Linked DNA regions of Lytechinus pictus. Each later gene encodes a partner of the first gene's protein in a complex. Links are inferred from orthologs where the notes say so. Each region holds a gene or a part of one and is shown in the gene's direction. Other genes may lie near its edges. The genes, in order: serine/threonine-protein phosphatase 4 regulatory subunit 1-like, serine/threonine-protein phosphatase 4 regulatory subunit 2-like and serine/threonine-protein phosphatase 4 regulatory subunit 4-like.

Region 1 (6,742 bases):
AGTTGCTATGTCGACTGTACGCTATGCAGTGAGATCGATTTTGCAGCCTTCTCATGTGTAGTCTTTGATCAAGTCTTACTTCAACGGAAAGCATTACGAGGCCCACAGGTCGAGAAGATTAAAGTTTATCCTCAGGCTCAAATGTCCTTTTGGGGATCAGGGATACTGCTTCTATCTAATATTTTGTTTTATATATAATTGTTCTGTATTTGCAAAAAGTAATACTCCACCCCAACAAAAGGAAAATAATACTGAAAATTTCATCAAAATCGGATGTAAAATATTAAAAAGAAAGTTATGACTTTTCAAAATTTCGCTTAATTTCACAAAACAGTTATATTCAAATCCTTGTCGGTATGCAATTGAGGAGACTGACGACATTACCCATCTCTTACTATTTTCTTTTGTAGTTTATTACATGAATTATTTAATACTTAAATTTTCTCCTCATTGTCAAGTGAAACAAAAGTTTCTTTTTCCTCCTGAACGTGTACGTGGCATTATTGTTTTAACATTTTGTGGTTCTCTCAAGTTGGCCCTTATTGTTAATGTAAAAATCTCAATAGTGTATAATTCAAACAATAAGAAACAAATAGATAGTGAGTGACGGACGTCATCGAGTCTCTCACTTTATTATGAATATCGGATTGTGCACCCGGGGTTGTATAACTATTTTGTGAATAATAAGCGAAATTTTAAAGCATCATAACTTTCATACTTTACATCTGATTTTGGTTAAATTTTCTGCGTGATTTTGTGATCTTGAAAATGTTGCGTATCTATCATAATAATTAATGAGAGCGCATAGACTAGCTGATTTTTTTAATCCATCCTCTAAAGGGGACTGCATTTTTTAGAAGTGGTTTGATATTGGTAAGTACATGTTAGCTCTCAGTACTCGTTGGTGGAAAACAGAACAGGGCGCCCAATATGACTCTATTACATTTCGCAATTATGAAAAGGATTGGTAGCCCTATCTTCCTAACAGTATTTTTATTTAAAGAAGAAGTTGTGTATCGGAATACCAAATGCGAGTGCGAGCTGTTTCTTTCTTTCCTTTGAATGAGGTATTCTAAGTGCAATCGGGAGCGCAATTTATATCATCATGAAAATGATGGGTATCTTCCAAACTAATTATGCGTGTGAAGCGCAAATCCGCGAGCTGATTTTGTTTACTATTCCGATCTAGAAAAGACAATAATATTTAAGGACTATTTTAAGCACTATATTGAACATGAAGGATTATAGTGGCGTACCGTGGGTCACGGCATTGGGGGGGGGGGGGCACCAGTAAAAATTTTGAGTCACTTAGTGGGCGCGCGAAGCGCGATCAATTGTCAGTTATGACCTAATAGAGACATTGTAAAGAGTGTGCCATTAAACGGATATGTATATCACTGATACAAAAATGCGAAGCGCAAGCTGATTTTTTGTTATTCAGACCTAAAAAATTGACATTATAAGCACATTTTTGTAATCATGATACCTACCTCTCTCACAAGACGAACTATGCGAGCGCGAAGCGCTAGCTGATTTTTTTTGGGTATATATTTTCCCCAAACAGGTACATTTTAAGAACTATACGTTTTAGGAATTCATGAAGAGCATACATGTCTCAACATAGTCATTTAATGCGAGCGCCATGCAAGCGCTTGCTGATTTTGTTAGAATTACACCTAACCCATGAAACACTTTTTGTAGTCATTGTAATCATGACCATGATAGGCCTTCATATCTCACTAATCAAATATTGCGAGCGCAAGCTGATTTTTTTTATTCAGACGTGAAAAGGTGCATTCTAATGTTTGCTTGTAGGAATTCACTAAGACCATACGTACTTCACTACTGACCGAATGATGAGAGCACGAAGCGCGAGCTGAATTTTTTGATATTCTGACCAGAAAAAGTGACATTTTAAGGACTGTTTTTAGGAATTCGTGAAGAGCAGACATAATCTCACTTGTGAAGACTATACAGTATAATCATGGAACACCTGATTTCTTTTCTTGTCTTTTTTTTTAGTTATATTCTAAGAATATTCTGTTATCAAGAAAAGGGTGGCGATCTCCTTATTATGTGAGAGCAAAGCCAAGCTGAACATGATATCCTGATCTGAAGATCTAAGGGATAGTCCAAGCAGGGGCGGATCCAGGATTTTCTAATGGGGGGGGGGGCACATATTTCCGAGGAAAATTTGACAAGCAAAAAAAAAAAAGTTCTCAACCAAGAATTAATGATATTTCATCCTCGAAAAAATTTGACAAGCAAAAAAAAGTCTTCACTTTCAAGGTTGGGGGGGGCACACTTCTGTTTTAACGGCATTTTTACATTACAAATTTTAATTTTGCATCTCAAGGGGGGCACGGGCCGGCTGTGCCCCCCCCCCGTACCCGTGTGAGTCCAAGGTCTAGCAGCCTACATGTACATTTATGTCAAATAAGACTAAATAGAGCGCAAAATATTTTGATATTCAGGATTGAATAAAAATAGAAAAATCCCACAAGATATGGCTCAACTAACATTAAGCAAATCATGTGAGAGTCCATGTCAAAGCCAATTAAGTGGAAATTAATCAAATTAAATATGATTTAGGGCTATTATAGCTTATAAGGAATTATCAGAATTTATGATTGTGATATTTATAGGCCTACTTAAAACACAACACAATGCAGTGGCCGCGGAACGGTTTTCAAAGTGGGGGGCTGACCGTTGGGCTGACCATGCAAAAAATCACAATCATATTATCATTTTTACGTTTTTGTACACGGTTTTGGAAAAAAAGTGGGGGGGGGCGTGAAGCCCCCCCCCCCCCCCTAGCCCCCCGCTTCCGCGGCCTCTGAGTTTAAATCATGTTTCACCATGTATACAAGAGAAATATTAGAAATTATTTTCCAGCCCCCCCCCCCCCCCCGCTTCCGCGGCCCCTGCAATGGATAAAAGTAAAATGATTTGAATTTTTTTTTTATTCCTCCCAAAAAGGGTGAAATTATAGAGGAATATAATGGTCATTTTAATTCCTCTGTGAAAGACTAATAGCTTTCAACCAATCAAATAATTGAAAAAGCCACCTCGTGCTTTATTCATCATGGCGGGTGAGTATTTACGAACGATGACCCTTCTTCCGTGTAAAAAGGTGTATCTCGAAATTCTACTAATTTCAAATTTTCTGTCATTTCAGATCTCAGCCTTCTTGCTGGTAGTTTTGACGGAGATCCCCAAGACTGTAAGTTTTATTTTACTTTGTTTTCACAGATTTGTGTGCCATATTTGACTATTTGAGAAGTGGATGATTTTTACGGCCACCTGAGCCTCTGCGGTAGATATGGTGTACCGGTAGATGTTTGAATGGGCCGTTTCTTGTGTGTTATTCCTCTGGCAGGAAACGAACCGGCGTGATACCGCGGATGATGTGATGTGTGTACGACTGTGTCTTGATGACTGAGCGAGTGTGTTGTGCAGTGACAATGCAAATGTGACTGTCAATCTATCGGCTACTGAAATTCATGAGTCATGTGTCACTAAATTGAAGGCATAATTGTTAGAGATAGATTCTAACATTAGACGTATTGGCAGAAATACTGTTCAGTTCAGTCTGTTGTCTTTCATGTCTGTTGAGTGTTGTCGAGTTGTCGATTTTTGGCCAAACTTGCTTTGGAAAGTTTGGGTAGATGGAGCTGGAGTGGAGTCCCCTTTTCTAACGTAACGACTAACGTCGTTTAACGATGTTAGCAGTAACGTTAGATGATTAGCCTGGCTGGGCCAGGCAGTCATGGTGGCAGCCAACCACTGCGGGAAACTCCGGCCCTACGACTCGGGAGTTTGTCGTAAGTGGCCATTATCTGTGGACTTAACAAACATCTCACTTTTGCTTTTGGTCAGTTGGTGATCGGCATTATCATGAAATATAGAGAATCACTGTACACTTTGTACAGCAGCGCTTAATTCAGTCACACACATTGGTTCCCTAATATTTCCACCTCCATTCATCGTACTTGTTACCTCAGGCGATGGTTCGTGTAGGCTCCTGCGCACCTCTACACTTCACTACCGCTACCCTCGGCTACACCTACCCGAACCATCTTAAGACTCACTCCTTGCCCTTTCTTGTAAACGTTTCGAAATTGGCGATTTGATGCCGGTTCGCAGTAGCCTATCTGACAGTGACACGTATTAATTCACCGCTGAATCCAAAATGGTGAACGTGAATTGCGAATTTGAGACGTTTACAGGAAAGTGCAAGGAGTGAGTCTGTGTCCGATAGTAACTAAGTTTAGTCACTGTAGAGTACGCTTAATGTCTTTTTTTTTATATGACGGTTGCCTTTTTTACCAAAAATTGACACAGTTTGTCACTGGTTTTCGAGAGCAAACTAGTATTCATGTTTCGGGTAGGTGTAGCAGAGGGTAGCGGTAGTGAATTGTAGTAATATGTGATTCGTAATGCGCCTAATCCACTCGGCAGAGTGCCCTAGGCGCAGGCGTAGTGGAGCCTACATGAACCATCGCCTGAGGTAACTTGTCATCTGCTTGTATGGTAAGGTCCCCCAAGTCTGCGCAGTCCCCCTTGTCTGCGCACACACATACCTGCGCGATTATAGTAAAAGAAGGTACACAACAATCACAAATTTTACATATGCAATAGATTTTTTTTTAAGATCCTACTCAAAATGGTGGAAAATAATGAATTTTGGGCATAAATTCATGTGACGTTCTCAAATTGTAGCCTTTCTCATCAAAATCCCTGAATCGTGTGTTAAGTGAATGGGTGCGCGGACAAAGGGCACCGGGGGGCACCATTTTTTGTTCAGTCTGAAAATGACTGGCCAAGGTTTTTTTTAAAGAAAATCATAATATCTATCTTTTCAATTTTTTTTTGAGATTTTTGGCACACTGATAAGAACATAAGGAACATAAATTCATGTTAAACATTAACTAAATAGTTAGGTGCACAGACATGGGGCCCCCCCTCTTCATACACTTACTTTTCCTGGGTGGTTCACTAAAATCCATGATTTGGCCTGCTGATCTTTCTCATCCAAATCGCCAGTGTCTACAATATTTTACAATTGTCATCCCAAAAGGATGTTTAAGACACCGATGAATCATTTCCTTGTCCGGTTCGTGCATAAAGACAGCATGCCAATCTCACTCCTGATTCATTTAATTGAAATACAGGGTTAAAATTTGGAAGTCATTTTTTTTGTAAGGAAACTGAAATAAAAAGTATACCAACCACACGATGATAAGCTCTCTGCAAAGACGGTACTAGTACTATTAGTTTTGAGCATTACTGGAACATTTTGGGGGGGGCCATGAGGGTGTTTCACAAAGAGTGAAAGGGGTGTGAATATAGTTGTATTAAAGTCCAAGTTGGTTTAATTTTGCTGAGAGGATGCACATTACTGCATATTTGTCAATAAGATTGCTGGTTACTATCATGTGCACATAGACATTTAAGGATGACTTAAGTTAAGTCGCACTTAAAACTTTGTGAAATACAACCCCAGGATTCGAGTCTCTCAGGCGGGACATTCCGGACATGTTTGTGACCAGTTGACAGACCAGTCAGCCTAAATCTAGGACTATTAAAGAAAGTATCATATCGTGTCAATATAAAAGGTGAAAAACAACTCCCTATGGTGTATCTTCACAAAAACCTTAATGTAACACAGTAGTATAGTCTATAAAAGGGCTCTACCTGTTATTAGAATGCCTACCTGCATAGTGATTGGTATAGGAAAGGTATCACCAGTACTGATTGAACAGCTCTTTTTTTTTTTTTCTTTCTTCTATCGAATCTCAATGCTTTGCTCAGATACACTCAAGATAAATTATGCTTAGCAGAGAAAAAAATACACAAGATTCTAGGCAATTTTGCTCTTGAAATGCTCAAAAGAGCCCTAAAAAAGTGTTATTGTAAATCCCCATTCTCTGCAATGTTGATGCTTATCTGGGCCCCATCTTACAAAGAGTTATGATTGATCCAATCAATCGTAACTCTATGGAAATCCATTAGTGTCATAATTTTTTCTTCAGAAAATTTGCAAAATGTCCTTTGTAAACAAAGGAGAACACACCAAATTGTCAAGAAATAAATGAATTTATGGATATGCTTTCATATCTAGAATTTTTTTTTGAACAAACATGCATTTTATATGTTGACTTTGCTAGCTTTCCATAGTTGCGATTGATCGGATCAATCGTAACTCTTTGTAAGACGGGGCTCTGATGTTACAGATTCAGGCATTAGGTTGGGAAAAGTAGCTCCTGAAAATAGATATTAATTTTTTGCCTGCTACTTAGGTACCGTTAATTTGTAAAAATTATGGGGAAAAACTATACTTAAAAAAATGTATATGATTATGAGCAAAAACACTTTAGAGGTTTTCCGACATGAATCGACAAACTTTGGTGTGAAAATGGAATTGATCTGTCAATCAACACGCGACACCGATTGTCCCAGACCAGTAAAAATTGCTGTCAGGCCAGTAACTTTTCAGAAATAGCCAGATTTACTAGTCCAACATGACCAGTAAAAAATATATCAAACGGATACAAATTATATTTTCTCCTATTTTGTAAATTCTAAAAATGGCTCTCATGAATGTTGTGCATGTGTGTACTGTATGCTTGCATTTTTTTGGGGGGGGGGTGCAATAAAAGCAAAAGACAGCCAAATAAACTTGCATCCTTTTTTATGTTTTTATCTATTTTGGGGACCAGTAAATTTTAGGTTTGGACCA
Region 2 (6,742 bases), on another chromosome or scaffold:
AGCGTGCCAACACTTACAGAGCGCGCGAAGCGCGCTCCCTAGGGGGTGGGTGCAGGGAGGGGGAGTTTCCCCCTCCCGCGCGAAGCGCGAAGCTTTTGGTGTGTCATAAATTAAAATGAAAAGGAGCCGTCTCTCTTGTCTCTAGTACCTATATCAGCTCCAATTCAGTTGACTTTATTGTGATTTTGAACCTTGTTTTCAAAAGTGATTGTGAACGCACAAAAAGGAATACAATGGAGGAAATTAAAATCATAATAACCCCGCGCGAAGTGCGGAAGCTAAAGCGTTTTTCGATTTTTTTTTTTGCCATGAAAAGGGTCCCGAGAAAAGGGTATTCTCAAAGATATATTGAATACTTCCCTTGGAAATATCGGATTTGATTACAAACAATTTAGCGACAGTGCATATCTTTAACTCGCAAAACAGAGGAGAAGAAGTGTATATGCCGGGAGGAAGATATTCCTCCCCGCGCAGAGCAATAAAACTCTGAAATTTCAAAGGGCGGACGTTTCATCAAATGCAGATATGTCTTATACCCCATCGGCTCTATATAATTCAATTGATAACCTAAGATTATTGAACTTCATTACAAGGAAAATAGTGCGCAAAAAGTTGAAACTTCTGTGATTTATTAAAATTATATAAAAAAGGATGCCTAATTTCTTTGACTTATCCTGAAGCGCTTCATTTTGAATTATGAAGAAACCTAAGTGTCATTCAAAATTTCAAACTGAGGGCGCAAAATAGGACAGGAGATGAATGTGCAGGGAAATAACATGAAGATTAATAGAATTTGAAAAAAAATATTGTACTTTTTTATTTAATACGACACGAATTTTATACATTCCTCTTTTTAAATTAGGAACCTGTTTGCCCCAAATTATGGTTGTTTAGTAATGACCTGAAAAGCGGGAGAAGTTGACTTTATGGAGGTGATGGCAGAAATAGATATAAAGATTTTACCCGCCCGGAGCCGACCCGACCAGAAGTTGCGCGATCAATAAAAAAAAAAGATAACTTCATATACTTCGGCCTAACCTTACTCTAATTCCATGCCCTAATCTATACATTTGAACTTTAACTGGCAAGAAACACATATAGCTGAGGTGGAAAAGCAGGGTTAGAGAAAGGGTGGGGGAAACAATGGAGAACTTCAATATGGTCATTTAACCGCGCGCAGCGCGGAAGCAAAATTCATATATAAATTTATAAGAAGAGTGAAGGAGTTTCTCTTTTGAGAAAAAAATAAAAATAAAAAGTATAAAAACCGACAAAGCTACCTTTCTTCCCTTTCCTCCCTTCCCTTTTCCTTTTTTCCTCTCTTTTTTCCCTTCTTTTTTTTTCTTTTTGGGGACGTTTTGGGGGGGGGCGACCGCCCCCACCGCCCCCCCCTGGCTACGCGCCTGAAGGCAAGGACTATACTCTTCCATGTACTCCAATACATATTATGACTAACATGTCATTTTTCACAAAAGTTTTATTTCAAAATATATTTTTCTTTCATGAGGACATAAAACAATATACTACCTGGGTTATATTTAGATTACTGCCCCAGGGGAATTGGTACTTAGGAGAAAACCACAAATCCCTGATAATAAAGTACACGGCCTATGGGAAAGTTGTCCTTACCCCTGCATGGTCATAATTTACTTACCAAGTTGCCAATTTGAAATCTACATACTATTATTGATCTCAATTTTAAAGCAGCTATAACTTTCTTATTGCTTGTCCAATATCTTTCAAACTTTCACCATTCTGTTTAATTTATTTTTCTCCTTCCCAACACAGCATTTTATGGCCAAGGCTAGATTCCCCTTTAACTCCGCTCTGCTACGTTCTATCTCATATCCTCATCCCGAATATCTTCTTACTATTGGATAGTACACTCTAAAATGACAGGGATTTAATATGATTCCATTATAACTGTGAACAGTGACCAGTCGATATTAGGATTTAAAATTAATTCTTAAAGATTTAAATGCATGTAAATCGATCTTAAAGATTGATTTTCAAATCCAAATTTAACCAATATTTAAATCCTAATCGACTGCATGGTCACTATTCATAGCCGTAATGTATGTATTTTTACAAATCCTTGTAACATAATCATTCTAGAGTATATAATTTTTTAGTTGATAAGTGATATGAATTGCATTTGCCATTGATTTAATTGCAAATGCTGGCATACTTGATTGATTGATCTCACTACATTAGTGAGCACTGAGCAAAGGGAAAAATTGTGTTATTAAAAATGATGAAGCTTTATTCCCAACCTAGTTCGTGTACTGTAACTTCTGCTAAATTAATAAGAACTTATAAAATGCATTTGTTAAAACAATTTTGCTTTTATCCATCGAAATGAGAGAGGGTCTAAACATTTGTTCATGGCTCATGAAATTACCCTATATCGGCAAGTTAACTTATCACATACAGATGAGTACATTCTGAGCTGTTTTTAAAACAGACTTTGTTGAACTTCAGAAAAAAAAGATTAACTGATTTTTCCACGAATTTTGTTTTTCTTTCTTTTTTAATTTCTTGTTGTCATTTGTTTATTGATCTTATTGAACTAATCGATGTTTTTATTCTGGAGATTATAATAGGCTCCCCTATTCTGTCCCCCTTTATGCACTTGAAACGGAGGGGGGGGGGTTGTACCCTGTATACAGGCCCGGGGGGCAGTTATTATATTGTATGTACACACGCGCGGCCAAATTATTTCCAAACACCCCCTATACGAGTTTTTCTCTGTGTTCAAAATAACCCCCTAAACAAGTTTTTCGCGGGCTTTATTTGCACATTTTGGCCCCTAAACAAGTTGTCGCCAGAATATGACCCCGGGGAAAAGCAGGGGCGGAAATCTCTCCCAAAAGGTAGGGGGACAAGGGGCTGAAAAATTTGACAAGCAAAAAAAAAAAAAGAAGAAGGTTACACCCCGAATTTAAGGTCATTTCGACGAAAATAATTTTGACAAGCAAAAAAAAAAGAAGATCATCCCAAAAGTAAGGTCATCTCGTCCTAAAATATACATGTTTTATTTCGATTTTGAATCTCTTTCCAGGCATAAAAGACCAAAAAAATAGTGGGGGGACATTTGATATTTAGTGTCCCCCCTACTATTTTGAGTAAGGGGGACACGTCCCCCCCCCCCCTGTCCCCCCTGGGATTTCCGCCCATGCTTGGGGGAAAAAATACCCTAAACACGTTTGGCTATAGTATAAAAAAAAAGCTTTGGAAAAAACATACCCTAAAATCCGGGCCTAAAATGACCCCGGAAAATGAATGACCCTGCGATTGACCATGACGGACCAGTCTTTCAAAACTACCCCTCGTCACCCCCTGCCCCGGGATACCGTCAGTCCCGAGATCGACACCCATGCCCATTTATTTTTTAAGTTTTATATATTTTCTAGTCTATATATTTATTCAGTTTCACATGAGTGGCACTGGCACAGATTTGTGAAGCTCCTCGTCGTCGTCGTACGAACCACGGCCAAAAGCGGCCTACGCAACGACTGTCGTATCTTTCGCTGCTACCCTGTAAAATTACGAATCGCCTGACTTTAACCGTAAAATGTACAAATCAACAAGTTCAGCGCTGCATTTGTTATACACAGGTAGTATAGTAGACTTTGACTCGAAATCTGTGAAAATGGAAGATTTGTCAAGGGATGCTGAGCTTGAAAACTACTTAGACGCTTTAAACGGTAAGTTACAGAAATGTTATTAATCAAAACTATAACTAAATATGTTTTGGAACATTCTAAATATGGTGTCAAATCATTGTATCTTTTCAGATTTCGTGAAAAAGCCGTCGAAAAGTATCCCGTCCGTGCTGGAACAGTTGATTCAAAGGATAGCCCGCCACGGTGAACCATTGTGAGTATGATTGCGTTTGCTAAACTAAACTGCGAGGCAGTCGCATTCAGTGCAGTGTACTGCACTGTGGCGCGCGCCAGCGCTAGCGCTAGCGGCTAGTCGCCTGGCTTGGGCTTGGCTTTTTTTGGCCAGATCAGGATTCAGAGCAGAGTCGAGAGTAAAAAAAAAAAGGAAAGACTTCCTTTTGAATTTATGTCCCCTCCACTAATGAAAAAAAAATACTTTTCCAAAACCCCCTTCTAAAAAGCTCTATCACTCTCTTTTTCTTCTTTTTTTTCCTTCTTATGAACATATGAGTTACCGGTATGTCCGGTGTGCTAACTTAGACCAAAAAGCTTCGGTCTCTGACTCTGTAAGACTAGTGTTAATGTTATGTTGGCTCTTCCGTAACCCAGGGAGCTCCGGCCCGCGCAGCGGGCAGGAGCTTACCGTGTATTTTACCATACTCACGGGACTAGGGTGATTTATGGTCTAAATATTTCTCCAAATGAATTGTGAAAACAGAAATTATGCACTTACCACGATTATATGGATGAAGGTCTAACGAGTGGCAGTTTCCTGACATCTGGGCACAGACTGGAACCTCAAAAAACGAAAAGTTCTCTCCTTCTACCCCCGTCTCGATCGGCCATTTTTGTTATTGAATAGTATAGTGGATTGCTAATTGTCTAAAAGTGGCAGAGTAGTTTTAAAAAGAAGAGAAAACAGGGGTTGGTGGACAGGTTAATTACTGAATGTAATTTTGTTGAAAACGTGGATTAAAAGAAATGATGAGTATATACAGTTTAAATTGATCTATTTTGTGGATAGCCAACTGGGTAAAATTGGCAGTGGTTTTGAAGAGACAGGGAAAGAGGGGTTGATGGAATACAGGTTAATTACCGACTATAATTTCGTTTAGAAATTGGAGTAAAAAAGAACGATAAGTACCTGTAGGCTCGTTGTACTGGGCGGTTCACCGGTGCCCACCTGAGGCCATCGGTCACCAGTGCAATTTATTCCAGACTGGTGGATCGCTATTAAAAGAAAAACGTAAGTGTCACCAAAGACTGAATATCAAGCACTTTTCAGGCCTTTACTAGTATTCCTTATCTAGATGTCAAAACTTGCACATGATACTATATTCCTAAACAATAAATCAACCAAGTAGAGCTATGAAAATAATGGTACCCGTCTACTAGGGACTATCAGATCAGGATTTCTCAATTTTTTTGCTTGAATTAATTGTCCCAAATAGGTGTTATCCATGGGGTCATCCATTTTTTCTGTTTGTATTATTTGCAATTTTAGTTACTCCACTGTAGAATTTGCTGCGATACCAATCACACGTCTCAGAAAGTTAAACAGTGTGTGTAGTATTATTAAAGATAAGTGAAATAAACTTTTGTTGGGGTGGACCTGTCCTTTATTGATTAGGTTAAGTAATACATTATTCTGATACTAGTAGCACAATTCAGTGACTTTCAAACACTCCTAAAATGTATTAAGAATCTCTGAAGCATTTTGTTGGTTCATGTGAGAAAAAACTAAACATTTTCTCACATCTCCAATGATGTCATGTTGTATTAAATTGATAATGTTGGTTAATGATCATACATATACTCATTGTACTTGTAGGATTAATGATGATCATCATGATGATAGCAATGGTGATAATGATCATGGTGATGGGAGTGGTAATGATTATGGTGGTGATAGTAATTAGTGATGGGTACAATTGTGTACATTATGGAATGTAAATACATGTACAGTACTATAAAAAATACTTTAAAATGTTTTACCGGTATACCTATATCCTAAGAACATATATGTACATGTACATGTACATGCACATAAGGGATCAGGGTACATGTAGGAAATTATTTATTTTTATTTTTGGGGCGGCCATCTTTTTATTTCCACATTTTGGTGACTGTAGAATTAAGGGGGCTATTTTGTACTTTTTAGTGGTAAAAAGCAATTATGTAGTAAATGCAAAAATCATTAATTCCGCAATAGTTAGAATACTTATACTGATATTCTATTATCTTGAATATTGTTTGTGACAGGTCTTGGAGCAACTCTAGAAAGAATGGTCACCCCAAAACATGCATTTTTGGGGAATTTTAGGGGCAATTTTGGCTGTCATGAGGGCGAAATCTCCTGGCGCCCTCTTGTACAGTGTTTTCCTACACTATAAGGGATGTTACATGTACATTTATGTAGTAATGCAAGAAATTATGAAACATGCAGTAATGTATTATTTCTAGATTTTATTTGTTTTTACCAAATTTATGGTTGACTTTAATTTTTTAAGTATCGTTGTCATACATGTAGGGGCTCTGCAAAATATAAAAAATGCAAGATTTAAGAAATTTCTACATTTTTCTATTTTATGTGAAGTCAGTGCAACACTATGTACTGTTGCCTTACATTTCTTGTAATTTCTGAGTGCGTACATGTAAGTACTACATTGCTTGAGCCATTTCGTTTCAGAAAACTAACATACTTTGTACTCTGTAAGACTTAAAAATTTCAAAAGGCTTATTTCATTTTTATATTTCATTTTTATTTAACAAGGTAGCCCCATCAGTAGTTACAAAACTGTTATACTAGGAGGCCCTGCATAACATAAAATGCATAAATATACATGAAAAACATCCTATGGTGATATGAAAGATCAGTACAAAATGATATTGGATGCTACTTGTCAACGAGCAATAATATAAAAATATTTACAACATAATTTATGATTACAATACATGTTCATCTTTGGTTAAATTATGATCAACGAAAATATAATAAACAAAACAGTTCATTAAGTGTAAGAAGATAAAAGACATTCGGTAGGAGCAAATCCGGTTTAAACTAGTCATATAACTTA
Region 3 (6,742 bases), on another chromosome or scaffold:
TTTCATTATTCCACACTTGTACCACTCGTTTCTGTACTTTTTGCGTTTTAAGTTTCTGCCGATATTTTGGTAGCAAGTGTATTACGTTATGATCCGAAAGTCCTATTCCAGGTCGAATTACGGTCTTATAGGAATCTTTAACAGAACAATAACATCTATCCAATATATTCCCTTCTCGTGTCGGCTTGTCAATTACTTGACAATAGTTCGGCAACATAGCTTCCAGTCTACAGTGATTAAAATCACCGAGTACAATTTTGGGGGAGTCCCGTGATTCAGCTTCCATCTCCCTAACTTTATTTTGAATAAGCTGTTCTGCTTCATTTTGATTAGCATCGGGAGCAATGTAGACCAGAAATAAATGAACTTGGGGAAATTCTCTGGGCAAGTAGAACGGGCGAAGTGACACACATAGCATTTCCAGATTTTCGTTGCATATAGAATTTTTAATTGTAAAGTTCGTACACCATCTATCATTTACATAGAGACATATCCCACCACCGCGTCTTTTCTTGGTTTGTTGAAATGAACGATCCAATCTCGCTACATTAAAACCATCTATTCGTATACAATCGTCATTAATGTCAGGGTTTAGCCATGTCTCTGTAAAACATATTATACTCGAATTCCGGAAATCATTAATGTAACTTGTTAGGGCTTGAATCTCATCCAGTTTATTGTACAGTGAACGGACGTTGCTTAGTGTAATTGCAGGTAATGGGGGTCTGTTTCCCCTTTTCCGAATTCTGTTGCGGATCCCTCCGCGTTTCCCTCTCCGCTTTTGCTGAGGTATGCCATTATCATCCTCGCGGGTCGGTGTCCATTCTGGGAGATTCAATGGGCTAGACTTGGACGTTGTGTAGTCGGCTAGGTAATACAAGTATTCTCGCGAATACTTGATAGTAGTAGTCTGTCCGGGTGATGCATATACATGACTATTTTGTGGTAGAACGATTACGAAAAGTAGCACAAAACATACCCAGATGCACGAGATGGATTTGACGAACATGATGACATAAACATAACTTCAAAGACAAATCACGAAATCCGGAAAATAAGCGACAAAAACAGAGACAAAATACCATGTAACAGGTCGCCGTAGTACAGCGCCCTAAGAATGATTTATGTCTATCCCTCTTCTACATGGAGTTGGTTTCTACTTTTGGTATTCCCTAAATTGCCCTAATGTCACTGGCCCACATATGAAAATGGAGGTAAAAAAAGGCTTTACCTCCATGATATGAACATATATATCCCGAAACTTGTACATGTATGATGTGGATGATAGAGAATTTCTAGATGCACATGTACTGTACAGTGTCTGTTACAATTTTACAGGAATTATCATTTGGCGAGGTGCCATGTCAAAATAAAAGTATGTGAATGTAATTTTTACCAGTATATAAAACCACATACAAGTGTGGATTTGGCTGAAAATGTCAGGATGTATTTTCAGGTATACAATCACTATCTCTGTAAGATAAGTGTTCCAAAATGTTTTTATTTTTAAAAAAGAGAAATAAAAAAACAGTACCAAGAGCTAAAAAGAGCGCTACATAGATATCCAGAAATTCAAAATTCATTTTTTTCTCAAAGAATCAACAGCTTAAAAGCTATTCAACAGCCACTGCAATGTTATTAAGATTGGAATGCAAGATGAAAGTGAAGAATAATTCACATTGTTGACCATTATGATAACAAAGCTTTAGATGGGCTTTCATATTTTGTCACTTTAGAGCACATCCACACAAAGTTAACTACATGTAAATGTTAATCATCTTGTTTTCTTTTACTTTTGGTGAATTTGCATTTTCTGTCAGGACCTTTAACACATGATGCAGCTACTTTGAATCGAAATATATTCTCTATCTCAAAGTCTTATATCTACATGTGTTTGTGAAAATCACAAAGTGCTACTTCATATTAAAGTAAAAACTGTCTTTTTCATGATGATAAAAACATTCACAGACATAGAAAAGTATATGTTGGCTCAGTTGGAATAAACTAAATAAATAATCTATAAAATGGAAAAAGGACTGTGATATGTTTGTTGGTAAGGGTTTGGCATTCAAATAGGCAGCTTATCCACACTCAGCATACTTGTTGAAGCTGGTATAGGGCTTTCTGCGACATCATTGGAGCGTCAAACCCGCCTTTGAAATGACAGCCCCATTGATACTAGGTATTCTCATTGTTCACAATAATCAATACCATCCCATTTCACCTGTAGAAATACAATGCTACTTGACTCTATTCAGATTCTTCATAATCAACTGGAGGTACTTCTTGGATATTAAAGTGTGTGACCTCATGAAAATAATACCTGGTGGGTGTTTCATAAAGCTGTTCGTAAGTTAAGAGCGACGTTAAGAATGACTGGTCAACCTCTCTTATGCACTATATAATCACCAATGAACATTTAATGGTTAATATCATTTACCACAAAAAAGGATCACCAGTCATTCTTTAAGTCACTCTTAACTAACGAATAGCTTTATGAAACAGCCCCAGATGCAGTCTGAGTGAGAATGAAATGAACATAAATGCCCAACTGAGATGGCAATTTAGATTTATTTTCATCTTTCATGATTGAGACCTTGGTCTCGTAAAACAAATTGAATCGTACACTTGATTTTTACAATTGATTTTTACGATTGATCATACATTGTAGTCAATGCAATCAATCTTTAAAAAATTGGTTCTACGACCATTGCTAAGCTTTGAGTTACGGGCCCCTGGTGCCTGCATGTTTTCTTTAAATATTACAAACATGCTCGTGATCTACAAAAACTGAAACAAAATCCTCCTTGATATTTCCTGTAATCTTGTCCTTTTCAATTTGGGTATACAGTAAATTAAACTTGCATTTTTATAAGTCAGTATTATATGAGTCAAATATTCACCAAAGTCGAACCCATTTTGGAGACGAGGGCCCTGTCTTACAAAGAGATGCGATTGATCCGATCGACCAAAACGATAGAAAGCCAGCAACGCCAACATCTCAATGCATGTTTGATCATAATGTTTTATTGTTTTCTAGATCATCGTTGTCTTGACAATTCAGTGCGTTTCTCTGTTTACAGGCGGACATTTTGCAAATTTCCTGTGTGGCAAATTACATGACATTTATGGATCTCATATTTGAGGTTGATTGGATCAATCACAACTTGTAAGACTGGACCCAGATTATGCACATGTTATTCCTCTTAAGTTGAATTTCTCCCAAGTCAAACCAATTTTTGTGGTCGTAATAGAGTCAACTCAGACAAAGTTACATGTACTTTGTAGAAAGATGGATACAAACTGATCTCCTCTACATCAATCTTTTGCTTCTTTTAGGGACATTTAACATTCTATTTGACAAGGACCCTTGAAGTAAAAGAGAGATGTGAAAATTGTGCCTAGTAATCAACTTAATTCTTGTCATGTTCTGTCATATATTCTAGAAATACGTTCTGTAGATAAGGTACTGTTCTCTGTGCAATTTTATATATTTCTTCATTTCAATGCCAGCTTTCATGATATTACCAATTTATAATCATAATAATGGGGATGATGTCTTATTGAATTACAGCTCTGGGCAAGAAGTGCAACGATTAAGTGTCATTCAGAACCTACCCAACCTCCTAAAGAACAATAATGTTGATGCTATGCGCAGAGTAGTACCCAAAGTCAGGGTAAGTTTAGTAATTGCCGATTGGGGGTTGTTGTATTTGTGAATGTAGAGTTTTTCTAATCATTACACAAAAACATAATTTACAGGCAAAGGAAATTTGAAATGCTCTTGCTCATGAAAAAGACTATATAAACATGTGGCTGTACATGAACATTAGATTGTATAAAATATTGAAAGATAGTAGGCCTATTCATGTAGAGTATAGCAAGCTGTGCATTTTGTTTTAAAAGAATGTGAGGAATGCTAAATCTGATTACATGAAGGCCTACATGATCAAACAGGAAATAAATTTTGTTGAAGGCCTGCTATTATGAAGCCGTTATAAAAAATACCCGCAGCCTTCCAAACTAGGGAACTGCTCCTAGATGCTATTGAAGGTACTGTACGGTATACCAGAGTCTTTGGAACTTACCTGAGAGTGGTACTACAATATGTCCATGTTTGTGATTACAACTTTATCAGATAGCAATGTTGGAAAGCAAATATTGGCATTCCATAGAGATATGGTAAGTGTCAAATGGGTGTGATATTAAGGGAGTGGTATATATATTTGAATGCCTTATTAGATTGATTAGCAATTTAAAGCCGTTTTCAATGTGATGGTTATCAATTCTTTCTATCTGAAATAAATGCTCTTCTGTATATTAAGGGTGTGTATTGCATCACGTAAAATGCCATTATGATTTACGTTAGTTTGACATTGTTGAGTTGACCCCCCCCCCCCCCGCCAATCCTTTTTTGGTCTAATTTATGCATTTCTATGATTCCTTTGTAGGATGTATTACACTTAGCGAGCCAAGACCTCCAGGAGGCAGCAGCAGCAGCGTTTGTGAAGATAGCGGAGGACCAATCAGTGCCACACCTAACCTATGCACAGACATTCCTACAGACGATCTTACAGAATGCTGATAATAGAGACCCAGGTCAGTTTCATACAACACAATACAATTGATATCTCCACCATGACTGTTTGACAGCACTTTACAAAGAATCAAATACTCCTAGAGCATTTTGAATGAGGATTAATTATTAATGATTTCAGTTGACTTTACTGTTTCTTTCAGAGAAGCCATCATAATTTCCGCTCAATTTATGTTGCATAAAGAGACAAGTTTGGTTTAGAACTGTGAATGAATTCACTATTGAGTTCTTAAGAATTTCAAAACTTTGTTTTTCAATGCAACCTGAGCTGTATTTGGCAGATAGTTTTTGTATAAATATAAGAAGTTTCCACTGTAAATGTAATTTTTATTACATTTATTATTACTTAATACAAACCATCCTGTGTAAAATTATAACAAATATTTTTATGAAACACCACTCAAAACTTTGTTAACAAATCTAATATCCATAGAGTTGTATTTGAATTAAGATGAATTAAGATGATATTCAGTTTTTAAAATTGACTGCAGTACATAGGGAGTCACTGAGATGGTACATGTATGTGTTCTAAAATGATGATTCATTCATCAAAAGAATATTGATTTCATGTGTGAATAGACTTATCTTCTTGAGACGCTATGAGCTTCTGTTGAATTAGAAAACAGATCAATACCAACACTGTCTACCAACTCCTGTAGAAAACCCAGCGAGTATAAGCTTTGTACACTCATATCAACTGAAATATTTTTTTGGTTTTACTTTTGTGTAGATACTTTATATTCCTGTGGATTCCACTTAAAAGAATGAAAGACTAAGATTATTAGCGTACACTAATAGTGTTAACAGAATACTTGTATTATTATATTTTTATTTGTAGATATTTCTGATTCCTGGTTAGAAGTCTTACTCAACGTCATTACACACCTTCCAAAGGATGTCCTCAAGAAAGATGTAAGAAAACAAGATTTTATTCAAACACATTCCCTTAAAATTTGTTGTAAGCTTTACTATACGCTCTGAATTACATGGATTTGAAATAAATCCAGATTGGCTCTTCAATATTGATCAATCAAACTGTGGATTTGATTTGAATCCTATAAAGATTTATTTTTGAATCTCAAAGGATTTAAATTCAAATCTGTACAGATTGAATCTAAATTCAGTATTTAGCCGATCCGGATTTATTTTAGATTCATGAAATTAAAAGTGGATTTGATGACTGCTTTCAGAGGGGGGGGGGGGGCAGAGGTGTTTCATGAAGCTGTTAGTAAGTTAAGAGCGACTTTAAGAATGACTGGTGATCCTTTCTTACACGCTAAACCATCGTCTATGCACTCTATGAACATTTTGGTGTATTCAATTTACCGCAAGAAAGAATCACTAGTCATTCTTAAAGTCGCTCTTAACTTACGAACAGCTTTATGAAACACCCACCAGGCATGATGTACAAATGCTTTTGATGGTGGGGTGTTTTAGATAATGCATTGATTGCTAGAGGCTTGATAGAGGAACTAGCCCCTAGGGGCCCTCTTTCATATCCCAAGAACAAGATGATAAAAAGTATTAATAGAATGGGCAGTATGCAAATGAGGGATTTGATGATGTGACATGCTTATTATTTCTTTTACATTTTATTTTATGAAATATCAAATATTTAACTTTTACTTGATTTGATGACAAGAAGATCTTTGGTAAATCAAAATGAATGATAACGATGACAATTGTAAAAATGTATAGTTCCATGAGGAATCACATTAAATTTGTGTGTTTGCTCAGTTGGTAGAGCATCCGTCTTACAACTGGGTTGTCAGGAGTTCAAACCTGGCTGCATCAGACCGTTGAAAGATGGGAGTTTCTGCTACCCTGTTTGGCGTTCAACGATTAAAGGGATAGAGCCATGTCGATCTGGCGCTGCACAGCGGCTGCCGCGCCCACAATCAATTGGGCTCAGCAAATTTTCAGAGTATTTCATTTCATGTCTATTTCGGATGATAAAATATGGGTTCTTGGATTCTTTAAACAAATTTTACATTATTAGGGGGAAAATCTGAGGTATTTCACATTTCTGATAATAAAATATCTAAATAGGGAGTGTGTGACATCATGAGCTTTAATATTTTTTTATATTGCCTATAGATACGATGAATATCACTGTTTTTGTGGAAATAAGCAAACGTTATAAAG

What was found.
Region 2: serine/threonine-protein phosphatase 4 regulatory subunit 1-like (region 1) and serine/threonine-protein phosphatase 4 regulatory subunit 2-like share a complex: the UniProt entries of both Homo sapiens proteins name them as parts of the PP4 complex. The link is inferred for Lytechinus pictus from reciprocal best matches to the Homo sapiens genes PPP4R1 and PPP4R2.
Region 3: serine/threonine-protein phosphatase 4 regulatory subunit 1-like (region 1) and serine/threonine-protein phosphatase 4 regulatory subunit 4-like share a complex: the UniProt entries of both Homo sapiens proteins name them as parts of the PP4 complex. The link is inferred for Lytechinus pictus from reciprocal best matches to the Homo sapiens genes PPP4R1 and PPP4R4.

The regions. Positions count from the first base shown.
Region 1 is NC_087246.1:66,575,375-66,582,116, reverse strand, and holds the start of serine/threonine-protein phosphatase 4 regulatory subunit 1-like, read left to right. Parts: upstream 1-2,842; 5' UTR 2,843-3,085; coding exon 3,086-3,092; intron 3,093-3,178; coding exon 3,179-3,223; intron 3,224-6,742. UniProt on the Homo sapiens protein: Regulatory subunit of serine/threonine-protein phosphatase 4. May play a role in regulation of cell division in renal glomeruli. The PPP4C-PPP4R1 PP4 complex may play a role in dephosphorylation and regulation of HDAC3.
Region 2 is NC_087247.1:51,603,370-51,610,111, forward strand, and holds the start of serine/threonine-protein phosphatase 4 regulatory subunit 2-like, read left to right. Parts: upstream 1-3,221; 5' UTR 3,222-3,574; coding exon 3,575-3,707; intron 3,708-3,797; coding exon 3,798-3,879; intron 3,880-6,742. UniProt on the Homo sapiens protein: Regulatory subunit of serine/threonine-protein phosphatase 4 (PP4). May regulate the activity of PPP4C at centrosomal microtubule organizing centers.
Region 3 is NC_087251.1:41,440,192-41,446,933, forward strand, and holds the start of serine/threonine-protein phosphatase 4 regulatory subunit 4-like, read left to right. Parts: upstream 1-3,578; 5' UTR 3,579-3,650; coding exon 3,651-3,677; intron 3,678-4,451; coding exon 4,452-4,599; intron 4,600-5,435; coding exon 5,436-5,509; intron 5,510-6,742. UniProt on the Homo sapiens protein: Putative regulatory subunit of serine/threonine-protein phosphatase 4.